2 linked regions of the Caenorhabditis elegans genome follow. The protein of the gene in region 1 interacts with the protein of each later gene in a pairwise test. Each region holds a gene or a part of one and is shown on either strand. Other genes may lie near its edges.

Region 1 (8,295 bases):
TTAAATCTACAGGTTTTTAAATAAATTTTGTATCTCATTGAACGTGCACCTAGTATTTTGCTTTTGAGTGATTTATCAGTAAATTTGAGCTTTAATACGAAACCGTGCAAAAACATTTTGATTATTTGCAATTGCTTGTATCAGCATAGTGAAACAGTGAGAATTTTTGTGTGTTAACACAATGTAGCAAGGAACATGGTAAGGCTGATATAATAATGAATTTGTACTATAGAATACAAAATTTGGCAAAAAGAATTTTTACATATAAATAAAGTTTGTTTTATAATATTCTTATTAGCTCACTATTATCTTAGTTATTATTGTTGTTGTTTAGAATCTACTTTAAGACAATTAATTAACAATGATTTTGTCAATAAAATTTTCATTCGGCCACAGTCCTCGGCTAAGACGTGGCTTATATTATATTCCAGTAGGAGCACCACCAGGCAGTGTACCTGAATCCCAGATCCGCAGTGAATTGTATGTTTACTGTTTCAGCATGTTTATATTATAATCTTTATCTTTTGTTGATAATATATTTGTAATATGATTGGAAACAAAACCAGGAAATCAATATCTGGCATAAGTAGCCAAATTTGAGCAAAATCTTTTAAGTTGGAATAGTGTCCGCACCGAACTTTTACCTATTGCTTTTGATTGATTTATCAGTTATTTTGAATTTTATAGCGTGTCAAAAACATTTTTATAGCGTGTCAAAAACATTCAGATTATGTTCAATTGCCTATATCAGCATAGTGAAACAGTCAGAAATTTTTTGTGTTAACACAATGTAGCGAGAATGGTTGTAAGGCAAATATAATCATGCATTTGTACTATGGAACACAAATTTCTACAAAATAAATTTTCAATAAAACGTAAAAATTTTATTTGTAAAAAAGTATGTTTTATAATATTCTTATTAGCTCACGTTAAGATCTCAAAATGTTTAGAAAATTTTTTAAATTTTCATTAATTATTTGTGTTTCGAAAAGCCTCTATCACCACCCAGGTTTTGTCACTTTTTCATTTGAAAAATTCTTTGAATTTAGTGGTCTACTGCTGTTTCAAATAGTTACATTCAACTGTTATAGGGATTCGATCATACTACACAAAGTCTTCTCAAAAAGTGGCAAAAAAGTTAAATATTGTTTTTTAAAAGGTTCACTATGATGTTTGGTCATTTTGGGACCAAAGGCGTCACAATTGAATTCTGAATGTTTCAACATTTTTTTATTATACTCTTTATCTTTTGTTGGTAATATACAGAAGACGTCTTGTTACATAAAAATAATGATTTGGAAGTCGACCAAAAAAAATTTTCCTACGATTTTTGCATACCTTAATTTTGTATTGATACTTTCTGGGGGTCGAAAAATTTTGGATCTCCCCAAAACGCATATTTTTTCAAAAATTTGGCATTTTACCAAAACTTTGACTGGAAGTTCTGAAAAAATTGAATTTTTTCAGAGTTTTTTAAAATGATTTCTTCACTGGCGCTACTGCAACTTTAATCACTTTTTTTTTCATTTTCCGACCAAAAAAAAATTGGAATGCAACTTTTATTTGGTTAATTGTGTGTTTTTCGTGTTATTAACTTTTTAAAAATTAATTAATTACGTTGAAAATTGGTGATTAAATTTGTCGAGAAATTCACTGTTTGACCGCGTGTGTATAAAAATTTTCTTCCGATTTCGTCAATGATCTTTTTGCATACATTAGCAACATATAAAAATTAATTTGAAAGCTTCCTTTAAAAATAAAATTGATAATAGGCTCCGCCTTTTTCTGGGCTTTCTTTGTTTTTGAAGTTTTCCAATCGAATGTTCTGTGAAAAAATCTTTTCAAACAAATTTTTGTAACGGTTGTTTGGCAATATTTCGATCTTTTGATTTTTGGATGTACCCTTTATCTTTTGTTGATAATATTTTGTATCATGAGTAGAAACAAAACCAGGAAATTAATATCTGGCATAATTATTAGGTCGTTCAATAAGTTTTTTCGTTTTTTTCTAGTTTTGGTTTTTTCTTGGATATTATTTTGCGGTTGTACAGAAGACTGTTAGTAATGACAAGCCCAACAATATCAGCCATATCGGTCAACTTCCAGATTATTTAAAACTCAGAACTATGATGACGAAAAAAAAAAATTTTTTTTCGAATTTTTTCATTTCTTTGTGAAATCAAATACTTTGTATGCGTAGAGGTATAAGACAGTTAGTTAAACAAAACTGAAAAATTTCAGACTCAGGCATAGCTTATTGGTAGCGCTACATCTGTTTAAAGTGCCTAAAACGCTTGCAAAATTGACTTTTTTATGTTTAAGCAGTGCTAACTTTTAAACCATGAGAGATATACAAAAGTAATGTATTACAACATTAATGTACACATCATCAGCTACATTTTATCAGTATGTTACATTGTTGTCCCTCCTCACGTTTCTGAGTTACAGTTGATAGAAGTGAGCTTGGTCCAATTTTCAAAAAACCCTAATTTTCACGTTTTCGCCTGTAACTCCGAAATCAGGCGTCTAATTAAAAACTTCAAATTAAAAATTAAGTGATTTTAAATTATAATCGGGTTCACAGTTGACCGTTTTGTCATATCTCATATGTGGGCAAAGATATGAATTGTCAAAGAAAAGTTGCGGAAATTTTAGAAAATTTTCAAAAAAAAACATCGAAAAAAAATCCAACAGTTTTTTTTACAAGATAACCTCTAACTGTTTTTTGATTATGATAGCCTAATTAGTAATCAAAATATTAAATGTGTTTTTAAACGCTCATGTTCTTTTCGGAAAGAGTAAAACAGTTTTTTGCAATATTTTTCTATATTTTTTCGATCATGCATTTTTTGTTTGTTGACCGTTCATATCTTTGCCCACATATGATATGACAAAACGGTCAACTGTGTACCTGATTATAATTTAAAATCACTTTATTTTTAATTTGAAGTTTTTTAATCAGGCACCTGATTTCGGAGTTACAGGCGAAAACGTGAAAAATTAGGGTTTTTTGAAAATTGGACCAAGCTCATTTCTATCGACTGTAACTCAGAAACGTGAGGAGGGACAACAATGTAACATACTGATAAAATGTAGCTGATGATGTGTACATTAATGCTGTGATACATTACTTTTGTATATCTCTCATGGTTTAAAAGTTAGCACCGCTCAAACATGAAAAAGTCAATTTTGCAAGCGTTTTCGACACTTCCAACAGATGTAGCGCTACCAATAAGCTATGCCTGGTTCTGAAATGTTTTAGTTTTGTTTAACTAACTGTCTTATACCTCTACGCATACAAAGTTTTTGATTTCACAAAGAAATGAAAAAATTCGAAAAAAAATTTTTTTTTCGTCATCATAGTTCTGAGTTTTAAATAATCTGGAAGTTGACCGATATGGCTGATATTGTTGGGCTTGTTATTACTAACAGTCTTCTATACAACCGCAAAATATTATCCAAGAAAAAACCAAAACTAGAAAAAAACGAAAAAACTTATTGAACGACCTAATAATCAAATTTGGGCAAAATCTCTTAAGTTGGAGTAGTGACCGCACCGAACATTAACCTATTGCGTTAAATCGATTTATCAGTTATTTGAAATTGTTTTAAATAAAAAATATTTTTAAATCGTGTCCATTCAGATTATTTGCAGTTGCCTATATCAGCATAGTGACACAGTCAGAAATTTTTTGTGTTAACACAATGTAGCGAGAATGGTTGTAAGGCAAATATAATCATGATTTGTACTATGGAATACAACAATTCTACAGAAAAATTGTACTTATAAAAATTATGTTTCACAATATTTATATTGCGTCACTGATATTTTAGTTATTATTTCAGAACTTTTTCATGAGAAAGATCTTAAAATTTCAATGATATGATTCAAAACAATTAATTTAAAACATTAAATTCAAAAAAAGTAAAACTATTCAAAACTTTTTTTGAAAATGTTGTTTATTTTATTTCAAAAATGGCAACCATTCTGTTAGGCACTTATTTGGAAATCGTTGAAAAAAAAATGTTTTCCTCCGAATTTTATGTTTCAAACGGTAATATTCAATTATTTTAGGGATAGTTTTCTTTAAAAGTGGCAAAAACTTAATAATTGGCGCTTTTCGGAAAAAAAAAATTTTCTAAAATTTTTATTGTTTCAACATGCTTTTATTATACTCTTTGTAAATTGGGTTTTATTCATACGCTCAAATTGTATTTTGGTAATTAAAAAAATTGAAACGTAACCAGGAAATTAATATCTGCCAGAAGTAGTCAAATGTAAGCAAAACCTCTTAAGTTGGAATAGTGACTATGGTGGTTTTTACAGAAAACTGTCTTGTTATAGGAAAAAAATCTAATAGTAACACAATGGTTTAAAAGAAAGCATCTACATTTTTTTAAAGGTAAAACTTTTTGAAAAAAAATTGGATTTTTAAAAATTCACTGTAAAAAGTGACTATTACTCAAATTTTGCCACTCATAATTTTATAAGTCGATCAAAAAAAAACTTCCTACAATTTTTTTTGCCAAAACTTTGACTGGAAGTTGTAAAAAATTTGAGTTTTTTGGAGTGTTTTTTTAAATGATATCCCCACTGGCGCTACTCCTCCATCAATGACTTTAAAAATTGATAAGAAATCGAAAAATCTGAATTTCGAAATTTACCGTTTCACCGCGTGCGTATAAAACTTTTCATCACATTTTGATCTATTTCTGATAGTGATCCGCTTTCAAACGTGTAAAACAATTTAAAATTAAACCAGAAGCTTCCGATAAAAGTATAATCAATAATAGGCTCCACCTATTTTTGGATTTTCATTGTATTTAAAGTTTTCAAATCGAATCCAGGAACAAAATCTTCAAAATTTGCAACAAAAAAAAAATTCAGTTTCAGCCTTCAAACAAATTTTAGTAACGGCTGTTTGACAATTTTTCGATCTTTGGGTTTCAAATTTTTACGAGTTCCCTTTTACCCCCGCTTAGTATGCTTTACCTATTCTTACTGTTGGCACACCCACCCACAAGAAAAAGTGTTAACAATCAGTAATAAAATGATGCCATAACTATGACAAATATAAACATTTTTGGCAAATCGAAACAAACATAAGCTATTGTGGGGCAAAGGTTAAGGAAACGGTATAAAAAAGGATTGAGGTAAGGTTTAAACTTCACTTTTAACTTTTGTGATTTGAACCTTCAAAATGCTTAAAATTCTACTGCTCCTCTGCTTTTTCATCTCCACAGCCGGAGCCTGTGCTCCGGGTACCGGAACGCTGGGCTCCAAGGGAACATTCAGCTATGAAATGAACCCTCCTGCTCTATACACCTATGATTCTCTAGCAGAATTTGAAAACGGACAGTTTGATCAAGCCTATGCTCAGCGAGTTGTGGTGTCGGATGTGCAGAGTGCGGTGAGTTAAATGCAATTTTAAATAAAAATCCCAATACAGAAAAAATTTCTACTGTTTCACAAAATTTTTATGAACAGCTACAGTTTTCTTTGGAGTTCGTATAATTGCATTTATTAAAAGTCCAATTATTAAATGTCCAACTATGGTGGTGGATAATTTTGCCAAATTTATAAAAGAATGTGAAATGGCAACACATCGCATAATGTTTAACGGTTGCATTATTATTTGAAAAAAATTTGAAATTCTCAGAAGCTTTATAAATTCTAGTCTAGTTTTGATGAAAAGCCATATATTTTCTTAATTTCCATCAAGCCAGCCTATTCAATAAAAAGCGATTCATAAAAAGTTTAATGAAATACTTTTGAAACATTAAAAATTTTATTGAAATTTTCTTTTTTTTTTCGAAAAGTGCCAATTACTACGTTTTTGCCACTTTTAAAGAAAAGTATAGCATATTCCAATCTCTACAATAATTGAAAAAAAACCCATAAGTGGGCCATAAAATTCGGAGGCAATTTTTTTTTTGACGAAAACAATAATAATAACTTTTTAGGCACCGTAGAGTTGAAACACTCCCTAGTAAGATAACAGTGAGCTAATAAGAATATTATAAAACATACTTTTTTACAAATAAAATTTTTACGTTTTATTGAAAATTTATTTTGTAGAAACATGTTATATTCTATAGTACAAATGCATGATTATATTACAATCTTTCTATTTTCATTGTGTTAACACAAAAAATTCTCACTGTTTCACTATACTGATATAGCCAATTGCAAATAATCGAAATAATTCTGTTCTCTCCTAGAAACTGATAAATCACTCAAAAGCGACATACTAGGTGCGCGGTCAATGAGTTAAAAAATTTATTTAAAAGCCTGTAGATTTAATTCGGAATATTTTCCAAAAAGTATTCGCTGCGAGCAGGATTTGAACCTACGCGGGCAATGCCCATTGGATTTCAAGTCCAACTCCTTAACCGCTCGGACATCGCAGCCCGGTTTCGGAGAGCTGGTTGGGGTGTTTTCGTTACCGCAAATGGCTGTGTTGTTCGCACATTTTGAGCGGAGAAATGACTGAAAAAAGTATGCTGAAAGAGAAGAGCCTAGAGATGTGTCTACCTACCACTAAATCTATTTTGTTATCACTTTTGAATTATTTTTTTTAGAGATAACAATCTGAAACATTAATTTTTGAAATAAACCACAAAGTATCAGGTTGTCCCATAAGTTTTTGTACTTTTTTTCAAATATTTTTCCAAAACTTCTAGAAAGTTTTAAAATTTTTTCATCGTAGGTCGTGTCAAGGTCGGGTCGTCCCCTTCCAGAAAAGATTCATTTCATCCATTTCTACTTTGCCACGATGACAATCATCAAACTTGAACGTCGAGACGTTAGATTGCTTCTTCTTTATGAATTTCGTCTTGGTCATTCAGCAATGAAAGCGGAACGAAACATATGCGGTGCGATGGGTGAGGGAGCACTCTCTTATAATACAGCAAAGAGTTGGTTTCAAAAGTTCAAGAACGGCGACTTCAGTCTCGAAGAAATAGAACGTTCTGGGCGACCGGTAGAGTTAAATGAAGAAGACCTAGTGAAGCTGGTGGAGGAAGAGCCTCGTCTTAGTCTTCGTGAAATGGAAGAGAAGCTTGAGTGTTGTCATAGCACAATTGCACGTCACTTGGGTCGCCTTGGTTTTACTTCAAAACTTGGAATTTGGGTGCCTCATGAACTTTCGGCATCACAGAAGCTCACTCGGGTCAACGTTTGTACTCAACTTCTAACTTTTCGTCGAAAGTTCGATTGGCTGAACAATCTGGTTACTGGAGATGAGAAGTGGGTGCTCTATGTTAACCATTCCAGAAAACGTCAATGGCTTCCGATCGGTGAGAAAGGAATACCGACGCCAAAGCCTGATCTTCACCCAAAAAAGATAATGATCTGTGTCTGGTGGGGTGTTCAAGGACCCGTGCACTGGGAATTGTTGCCAACTAATAAAACTATCACTGCTGATTACTATTGTGCCCAATTGGACCGAGTTGCAGAAAAGACCAACGGAAAATATGAAAAACTATATTTTCTTCACGATAATGCTATGCCTCATGTCGCCAAGAAGACTTTCCAAAAGCTGCAAGATCTTGGTTGGACTGTTTTACCGCATCCACCATATTCTCCAGATCTTGCACCAACCGACTACCATTTGTTCTTGTCTCTCAGTGACTACATGCGCGACAAGCAATTCGACGACGAAGAGCATCTCAAAACTGAACTCTCCACTTTCTTCTCATCGCGTTCGCCGGATTTCTTCTCCCGTGGCATCATGATGTTACCTAGTAAATGGCAACAAGTGGTGGACACTAATGGTGAATACTTGTGTGAATAGTACTACTTGTCGCTTGAGAGAAATAAATTTTTTTCAAAAAAAAAAATAGTACAAAAACTTATGGGACAACCTGATATTTATACCCATTATCAATAAAAAAAAACTGTTTCAAATATTTCATTTTTCAGGTTGTATAAAATTAATTCGTTTGTCGATCTTTTGAATTCTTTTTTAAAGATAAATAAGTCTGAAACATTAAGTTTCAAAATAAGCCACAAAGTATTTATACCCATTATCAAAAAAAAACTGTTTCAAATATTTCATTTACCAGATTATATTTCGGAGAGCTTGCTAAAATTTGTCCATACGAACCAAAAAAAATTATCTGCTCAAAACTTGTATAATAATGGAACCAAGTAGAGCGCTAAAACACTAAAAACACTATACAATACCAAAAAAGTTTAAAAATTCAAAAAATTCAGATCAACGACGTATTGCAAGCCAACAGTATCCCCCTAAACGACATAAACCCACCAGTCATCACATTCTCGCCTCCAAA
Region 2 (8,129 bases), 4.8 Mb from region 1:
GAATTAATAACTCAAAGTGATTCTGGGATGTATATACAATACTGCTGCATTTCTCACAACTTTATCTCGACCACCAATTTTTTTTGATGAAAAACCATCAACTAAAAAGTTGTACTTCAGATTAAAATAATCAACTTTGTAGTTGACAACTTTGCCATAAAATTTTTTCCACGGAGATGTAAGCATCCAAAGTGAACTCGATTTTGGAACATGTTCAACTATACCTCAGGTTTTTGACTGAAATTGTGTTCTGAACATCCAAAGTTTTTTTCAGAAAATTTAAATTTCCCGCCAAAATGTTTTTTATTCAGAAAATTTAAGTTTCCCGCCAAAAAAGTATTCTTCAGAAAAGTTGAATTTCCCGCCAAAATGTTTTTTAGAAAATTTGAATTTCCCGCTAAAATGACTTTTTCAGAAAATTTAAACTTCCCGCCAAAATTATTCTCAGGAAATTTGAATTTTTCGCCAGAAGGTCTCACCACGATGTGTCTACAGTATAAAATCTACAGTAATCCTACAGTACTCCTACAGTACCTCTACAGTACCTCTACAGTACTACTACAGCACCCCGACCATGTCACTCCATTAACCCTAAACCAATATCCCTTTACCAACCGTGGACCGCACCTCCGGCGCGGCCCCCGACTTCTGGAGCTGAAAAGTAATTTTTCTGAAACTACCGTAATCATACAGTACTCCTACCGTATCACTATTGTAATACTACAGTACTCCGATTATATCTGTACACTAACCCCAACTCACAATCCCTCCAGAAGCTAAAACTTCGCAGACTATAAAGACTACATACAAACTATGAACAAACGGAATAAGCGCTTTGTATATATAGTAAATGATAATCCAAAACTTTGCACACTACAAAGCCTGCATACACTACAAACTCCGGAGTCCGGACAGACTAACTGTATTTTTTTAAAATATAAGCAATAATGATGCTGAGCATCAAAGGGATTGAGCCATCGTTAGGGATTGAGCGTTCAAGTGAAGGAGCACGCTAGTAAATGAGGGTTTGCCCCGAACCGACGCCACCCACCGAAGAAGACGACCTGGACTTCAAGTCCTCTCCACCCTCATTACCACCATCACTCGCTCCTACTTCAAAAAATGAATGCGTTTCAGCATATTCCCTTGTTTTCTCAAGAAAAAATCATAAGAAACATGTTTTTTCACTGCGAAAAAAAATTGAATATCCAGAAAAATTTCAATTATCAGCCTCTTCTCCTTCTTTTCCGTCGACACGCTGCTCGTGAGTACTCTTCAATAGATCGTAAAGTGTACGAGCACGTTTCAAGTTCGAGATATCGTACGAATCCAGTGAGCTCTTCATCTTCTCCAATTCGCGATGAGCACTATCAAGAGCACTCTGTGCAATTTCGTTGGCTTCTTTGGGAAGATTCAGGACATCGAAGTTTAAGGCGCTTGCATTGAGGGCAAGTCCAAGGCGAATTGGGTGAGTTGGCTGCATCTTGTCCTTAGCGATACCAAGAGCCTCCTGAAAGTCATTTCATTTACATCAAGAATTTAGTTATTCAAATACCTGATAAGCGATTCGCGACTTGTGTGCATGCTCTTCTCTGTTGATATCGTCGTATTGGACCAGATACCTAAAATGGTCGGCGACCATGCCACCGAAGAGAGCCTTAGTTTCATCATTTAGCGCATAGTCTCAAGCCAAACAGGCGGGGCAGTTCAAAAATAGTTTGATATATAGTTTGATATAGTTTGATGAATAGTGGCGTGGAGTACGGTTTCGCGGCAATTCAAATACTACTATTCTTGAGACCAGACGAATCGGACGATTAACGGCGGCGAGGGATTCGGATCGGGGGAACCCAATCTGTGGGACGGGCCACGCCCACGATCAAATTTTGCAACCTCCGCACGGTTCTATGGGCGTGGCCAATCCCCCGATGTCAACAAATTTTAAAAAAAACCTTCCCCGATTTTATAAATATTTCAGCTTGAAATCGCGATGTTCATTTGCGAACTCGAGGCATTTTCGAAACGTTAAATGTTCCCGCGCAATAATGCTCCGCTGAACAGTGCACGCTTTTTGTGTAGATTCATTTAAATATTCATTTTCCGTCAGATTTCATGTAGAAACCCAAAGATTCGCTCATTTCGCTGCTCGATCTTTTCTTTTTCTTCATTCAACCGTATATTATATGCATTTTTCGTTTAAACGTTTTTCAAAAATTTTTAAAAATTGCTTACAATCTTCTTTGTAAAAAGAATATATTTTGCAACCAATTTTTTCGATTCTCCATGGAAAACTTATCAATTTAAACTGCATTCACTGTTACACTGATAATGCTTTGAACGACGGCGGTCGGAGAACTTCCAACCGATTACTGTTCTCCAATTTCATGTTTCTAGAAAAAAAGAAATTTCTGTCGTTTCATAACATGTTTTAACACGCAGAGCCTTTTTTTTTCGAATGAACCGCCATTTTCTTTAAAGGCGCAAGCTATTCCCTCTGCGCGATATTTCGCCGCGAAAAAAGAAGCCCCGCGAAAAAACGTATTCGAACCGCGGAATTTCCGCGAATTTGTTGCTGGTTTCTTCTAGAATTCAACGATTCAATGCTCATTTCATCACAATTTTTTTTTGTAAAATTATCCTTCTCGCTTTTATGCTCCTCTTGCCCTCAATTTTCTGTCTAAAAGCTATCATTTCCTCTGATTTCTTCCTCGATTTTCAAATGTTGGCCCAAAATAGTGATTTTTTCTTTAATTATATCCTAATCCCCACCAACACGATTTAGCAATTCTCGAAAATTATTTTTTTGCGTTGTTCAGGTAAAAGTCCTGACGAAACCTCCTGAGTTTTGTGTAACGTGCTCACCGAAAGATTAGTGTGCTTGCTGCGCCCGTTGTCACCACTGCCATTCATCCTTCTATTCCCGTGTTTTCTTATCAAATGCCCAAAAAATCTGAAATTTTTTGTGTAGACAATGCTATATATGAGGAGCGAATGTGTGCGCCAGAGAAAAAGACGGACAGACACAAATTGAGTGAGTGTGCGTTGCCCACTTTAGTTGTTGTCATGCGACGGCGGCGGCACGCGCTCTCTCATCGGCCGGCACTGCTGTCCATCGATTTTTCTTCTTTCAAACGTCGTGCGGGCTGTTTCGAATGTTCTAGGGCTCTCCGTTTCGATTATTACTCTCGCCTATGTTCTTCTCTTTTCGTTCTCAATATTTCATTATAAATTTTGTTTCAGAAGACTTGCTCACTGAAAAAATGTCCGATACCGTGGAAGAGCTCGTTCAACGCGCCAAGCTTGCCGAACAAGCCGAGCGATACGATGATATGGCTGCCGCCATGAAGAAAGTAAGATAAAACATCATTTACGGAGGTTTCAAATTTACTATTTTTCAGGTGACCGAGCAGGGACAGGAGCTTTCCAACGAAGAGCGTAACCTTCTCTCTGTTGCCTACAAAAACGTCGTCGGAGCTCGCCGTTCATCGTGGAGAGTTATCTCTTCCATTGAGCAAAAGACCGAGGGATCCGAGAAGAAGCAACAACTCGCCAAGGAATACCGCGTCAAGGTAACTACACCAAGCAAGATTTTATTAATTTCAAGAATTTTAGTAACTTATTTACATTATTTCAGGTTGAGCAAGAACTCAACGACATCTGCCAAGATGTGCTCAAGCTCCTCGACGAGTTCCTCATTGTCAAGGCTGGAGCTGCTGAGTCGAAGGTCTTCTATCTCAAGATGAAAGGAGATTACTACAGATACCTCGCCGAGGTCGCTTCAGAGGATCGCGCTGCCGTTGTTGAGAAGTCCCAGAAGGCTTACCAGGTATTTGAAAATAACTAAATTCTTGATGTAAATGGCATGACTTTCAGGAGGCTCTTGATATCGCTAAGGACAAGATGCAGCCAACCCACCCAATTCGCCTTGGACTTGCCCTCAACTTCTCTGTCTTCTACTACGAGATCTTGAACACTCCAGAGCACGCTTGCCAACTCGCGAAACAGGCTTTCGATGATGCTATTGCTGAGCTCGACACGTTGAACGAGGATTCGTACAAGGACTCGACCTTGATCATGCAACTTCTACGTGACAATCTCACTCTCTGGACATCTGACGTTGGAGCTGAAGATCAAGAGCAGGAGGGAAACCAGGAAGCTGGAAACTAAGTACGATTTCAAAATGTTTTATTGCCATTATATAAAGCTGACCTTTTTCCTCTTTTCCTTTCACATCAAATCTTGCTTCGAAAAAATAGTTTCGGTTTTCAGAGAGCTGAACTCCGTTCTCTTTCCTCGCATCTCTTCAACTTTCAGTTATCCTCCAACATTTCCGGTACGTTAGCCGAGAGAGTTGCCTAATCACCGTTTTTGTTTTAGACTTAACGTATTCACCAATACTCCATACAACACTGCGCAATAGCATCATGAAAGAAAATTCGGTCTTCAAGTGCTCTAGATCTCCAAGCCATAATTCTCTTCATGCTCTATTTCGCTGTAATTCACTCCGTCACTATTGTCATTCCTAAAATGGCGTATTGTTCTATGATTATTATGTGCTGTAAAGTATAATGAACCCCCATCTTCCATTTTTCTCTTATTATCCCCGATCTTTATTTTTAGATCTTTTTGAACATAAATGTTTGGTGAACTTTTCCGGTTGTCCGAATTTCATCACAACTTTCCAGGAGTTTTTCGAGTAATGGAATGGAATTTATTTTCAGATTTCGATGAAGGAGCATAAATAGGATAAAACATTTGCATTAACCTCTTAGAAGGTCTCAACACGAAAAATTAAATGAAATGTGAAAAAGTGTGCGCCTTTAAGCTGCCGAAAATTTTTTGATAGTTTCTTCCACGATTCGTTAAAAATTAAGTGTTTTATGGTAACATTTGAGTGTTCTTTTGAAAATAAATATATTCTTTGTCGAAAAACTATGAAACATCGATAAAAATTCCGCAGCAATAGAAGTTTAAAATTACAGTACTCTTTAAAGACTCACACCTTTTTGCGTTCAACAAATATTAGACGTGTCGAGACTAAGTACCGTACTTTTGGCGCAAAAAGCTCAAAATTTCGCTCCTGGGCAATATAATTTTCGGAAAAAAACTTAATTCTGGAGACTTCATGTGTTTTCACAGATCATGACGAGACCGATTGAGAAACATTTGGAAATACATTTTTCTTCAATATATCTTCAAAGTGGCCGATTGTATGTGATCATACGGAATAACGATGGATGTGTTTTGTGCTTTTCGGCAGATTTCGAGCTTTTGAGCCAACAATTTTCAGCGTTGTGGATGAAAAAACATGTCACGTTGTTTAATCAATTTAAAATCTTTAAAATGTAATGACTATTTTTATGGACTGCGCAGTTGCCCCATGTTGAAAAAAGATGTCAATTGCAATTACATTTTATTTTCCGTATAAGTTAAATTCAATAACCCAAAGTTCAAAAAAGTACTATTTATGAGTATTATCACGTGGTGTCAGAATGTCCCATGTCGGTTTGAACTTCGAAATATGCGGGAGTTGAGACGTAGACTGACGTCACATTTTTCTGAGAAAAAGTTATCCGCATTTTTGTAGATCATACCGTTATGGGGCAACCTGACACCACGTGTCTTATTCGAGATCCATATTTGAGTGAACACCCGGATAAGCTGGTAATCGTCTTTTCTTTTCAATTATGTGAACACTGATATGAATAATTTATTAAATAATTAATTGATTGAAGTTTCGCAGGGAAGCTGAGGCTTGCTGAGCTCTAATTCAGCGTTCAACACAAAGTCGGCTGGTTCTGAACGAGCTAGGAGAACATAGACTGTGTTGGCTACTGTAAGTGTTAAAGCATGGATCAGGAAGTAGCTGGTCCATGAGAGTTCAGCTGAAAGTGTTGAAAAAGGTTTAGTTTAGAAAGAGAATGAATTGATACTTACAATCTTCACTTCCCGGAAGCACAAGAAGAGAAAAAAGAACAGGTTCGAGCAGTGTTGCTAACGATTTGAACAATTGAATATACCCGATGACAAAGTAAGAGAATTGTCTGAAAATGTTCATTCTTGAAATTTCAAATTAATTTTTAAATCGCCTTACCTTGATATCAAAGCGGCGCCCTTATAGAATCCTCCACAATTGAACCCGAATGAAGCCTGATAGAAAGTGATGCAGATGACGTGTAGATATGGATGCTCGCGTGGCAGCAAGACTACGAGCATGAGAAAAAACGCGGGTACTTGCAATGAGATCGTGTTGAATAACCGCAACTTTGACTTTTCCGGCAGTGTACGAATACGATCGGACGCGATACCGGCGAATACTCGAACACCGATGAATAGATAACCTTTCATGGAATTCAGCCATGCATTAGCCTGGAAATTCACAAAATTGAGGGCAAATATCGGTGCAATATCGGTCTTTATTGCAATTTCGTGAAATTTTGACATGGCACTTTAAAGGCACACGCTGTTTTTCTCAGTGGGTCTCGCCACGCTCTCAACCATTGTAGTCGCTACAGGTACCAAATGTCATAGAATTGTTCATTGGATGTGGAAAATTAAGTTTGCCCCGACGTGCCTGAACACAAATTTACCTGAATATCCATTCCGAGGTATTGATAGTATTGTGCACCATATACAAGAAATACAAAACTGGCAAAAATATCGGCGAACCCGGCAACCCACACGGCCCAAACTGACTTGTCGGTGAGAACTTCTCGATACGGAGTCTTTTTTGTCTTATCTCTCTTGGTTCCTCCACCAATGTGTTGAAGCTCGTGATGTGTCATTAGGCAATGATCTTCCGGATCGTCACGATAGAACAAGAACCAGATGATTGTTGAGATGAAGAGAATTATTGAGAGAATATAATAGATAGGTCGCCAGCCAACATTTGATGTTGTCTGAAATATTATGAATTTTAAATATACCGTCTCAGTGCAATAACCTACCCATCCTGCCAGTGGCAACTGAATTACAGCTCTTGCCGCAGTGAATCCACTCAACGCAGCCAGTGACATTCCTACTTCTTTGATAGGCGACCACTTTGAGCACACGTATCCGACAACTCCAAAGTCAGCAGAGTAGAGGATTCCTTGGAATATCCTGAATACAAGTGCTACATGGTAGTTCGTGTCAAGAGCCCATGGCATGAAGGCAGTGACGACGGCACAGAGCAAACTGGCAAATGTGAGGACAAGACGGGGTCCATATTTTTGCATTAGCACATTCTGAGGATACATTCCAATGAGTGAACCAATTGCCATCGCTGAGATCAGACTGGACTTCTCTTCTAATGTGTAGATGTAGATCTGAAAATTTATTGTTGATGCTAAGGTTCAAAAATGTTACGCCTGAGTTTTATGGGCTAGAAGACCTGATTTAATGTCTAAGAACCAGAGTTATGCGGACCATTTTTGAGTGAAACTTTTCATGTAAATTTAGAAAAACACTGATGAATAATTTGACAAATTTCAAGACTAAATGTAAGTTTCTCTAAAATTCTCCAAAAGTTGCTATACGGCAAGGCACATTTCGATCAGCATATTGCGACGTTGACACAGATTTTGAATAACTTGTAAAGTGTACTACTACGTTTATATAGGGCTTCCATGGCTTGCCTCAAGCCGGCATGAAGAAAAAGTTAAGATGTGTTCTAGTAGAAGACATGGGTAAAGGCGGTAAGCAGTCGGAGGTCGCCTTAACGTCCGTCAGGAAGGCGTTTTGGCGCCTACATGGAAGCCCTGCGTTTTTAAACCAAAGTTCACCTAAAAACATCGTCTTTAAATTGTTCGAAAAAAATACTCCGCGCGGATTTTCTAGAACGTAAAAGTATAGAACTTTAATCTCAGAGCAACTGTTGCAAGACTTGACCTAATCAAAAATAGCTCTTGATCTATCGTGACCTCTCTTCCCCCACTTGCAAAACTTTCTAAGAGCAACTGACCTTTCTATCGAAAGGCACTGCCCCGATTTCAATCCATCATATCTTTTTTGTGGTCCATTTTTCTTTCATTTTTCTTCCCCGTTTCTACTAATGTCTTTTTATTCTACTGGTCTCATGACGACAGACGGGGGCGGTCATGCCACCAGGAAGAAAAAACTTTCAAAAAAAAATCGTTCAAAAAACCCAA

What was found.
Region 2: the proteins of Y51H4A.8 (region 1) and par-5 interact in a two-hybrid assay, tested with the Caenorhabditis elegans proteins (one large-scale study listed by BioGRID).

What each region holds. Positions count from the first base shown.
Region 1 is NC_003282.8:16,575,422-16,583,716, reverse strand, and holds the start of Y51H4A.8 (DUF4136 domain-containing protein), read left to right. Parts: upstream 1-5,167; 5' UTR 5,168-5,201; coding exon 5,202-5,411; intron 5,412-5,507; exon of another isoform or gene 5,508-5,528; intron 5,529-5,714; exon of another isoform or gene 5,715-5,736; intron 5,737-5,959; exon of another isoform or gene 5,960-5,983; intron 5,984-6,206; exon of another isoform or gene 6,207-6,228; intron 6,229-6,329; exon of another isoform or gene 6,330-6,411; intron 6,412-7,944; exon of another isoform or gene 7,945-7,965; intron 7,966-8,088; exon of another isoform or gene 8,089-8,109; intron 8,110-8,218; coding exon 8,219-8,295.
Region 2 is NC_003282.8:11,817,029-11,825,157, reverse strand, and holds par-5 (14-3-3-like protein 1), read left to right. Parts: upstream 1-3,240; 5' UTR 3,241-3,260; coding exon 3,261-3,350; intron 3,351-3,398; coding exon 3,399-3,569; intron 3,570-3,634; coding exon 3,635-3,826; intron 3,827-3,873; coding exon 3,874-4,167; intron 4,168-4,269; 3' UTR 4,270-4,333; intron 4,334-4,377; 3' UTR 4,378-4,652; downstream 4,653-8,129. Other genes in the region: M117.3 (14-3-3 domain-containing protein), read right to left, coding at 1,220-1,510, 1,556-1,642; M117.1 (Major facilitator superfamily (MFS) profile domain-containing protein), read right to left, coding at 5,722-5,885, 5,938-6,044, 6,095-6,369, 6,591-6,899, 6,948-7,307. UniProt on the Caenorhabditis elegans protein: Required to modulate lifespan, in concert with hcf-1, acting redundantly with 14-3-3-like protein ftt-2.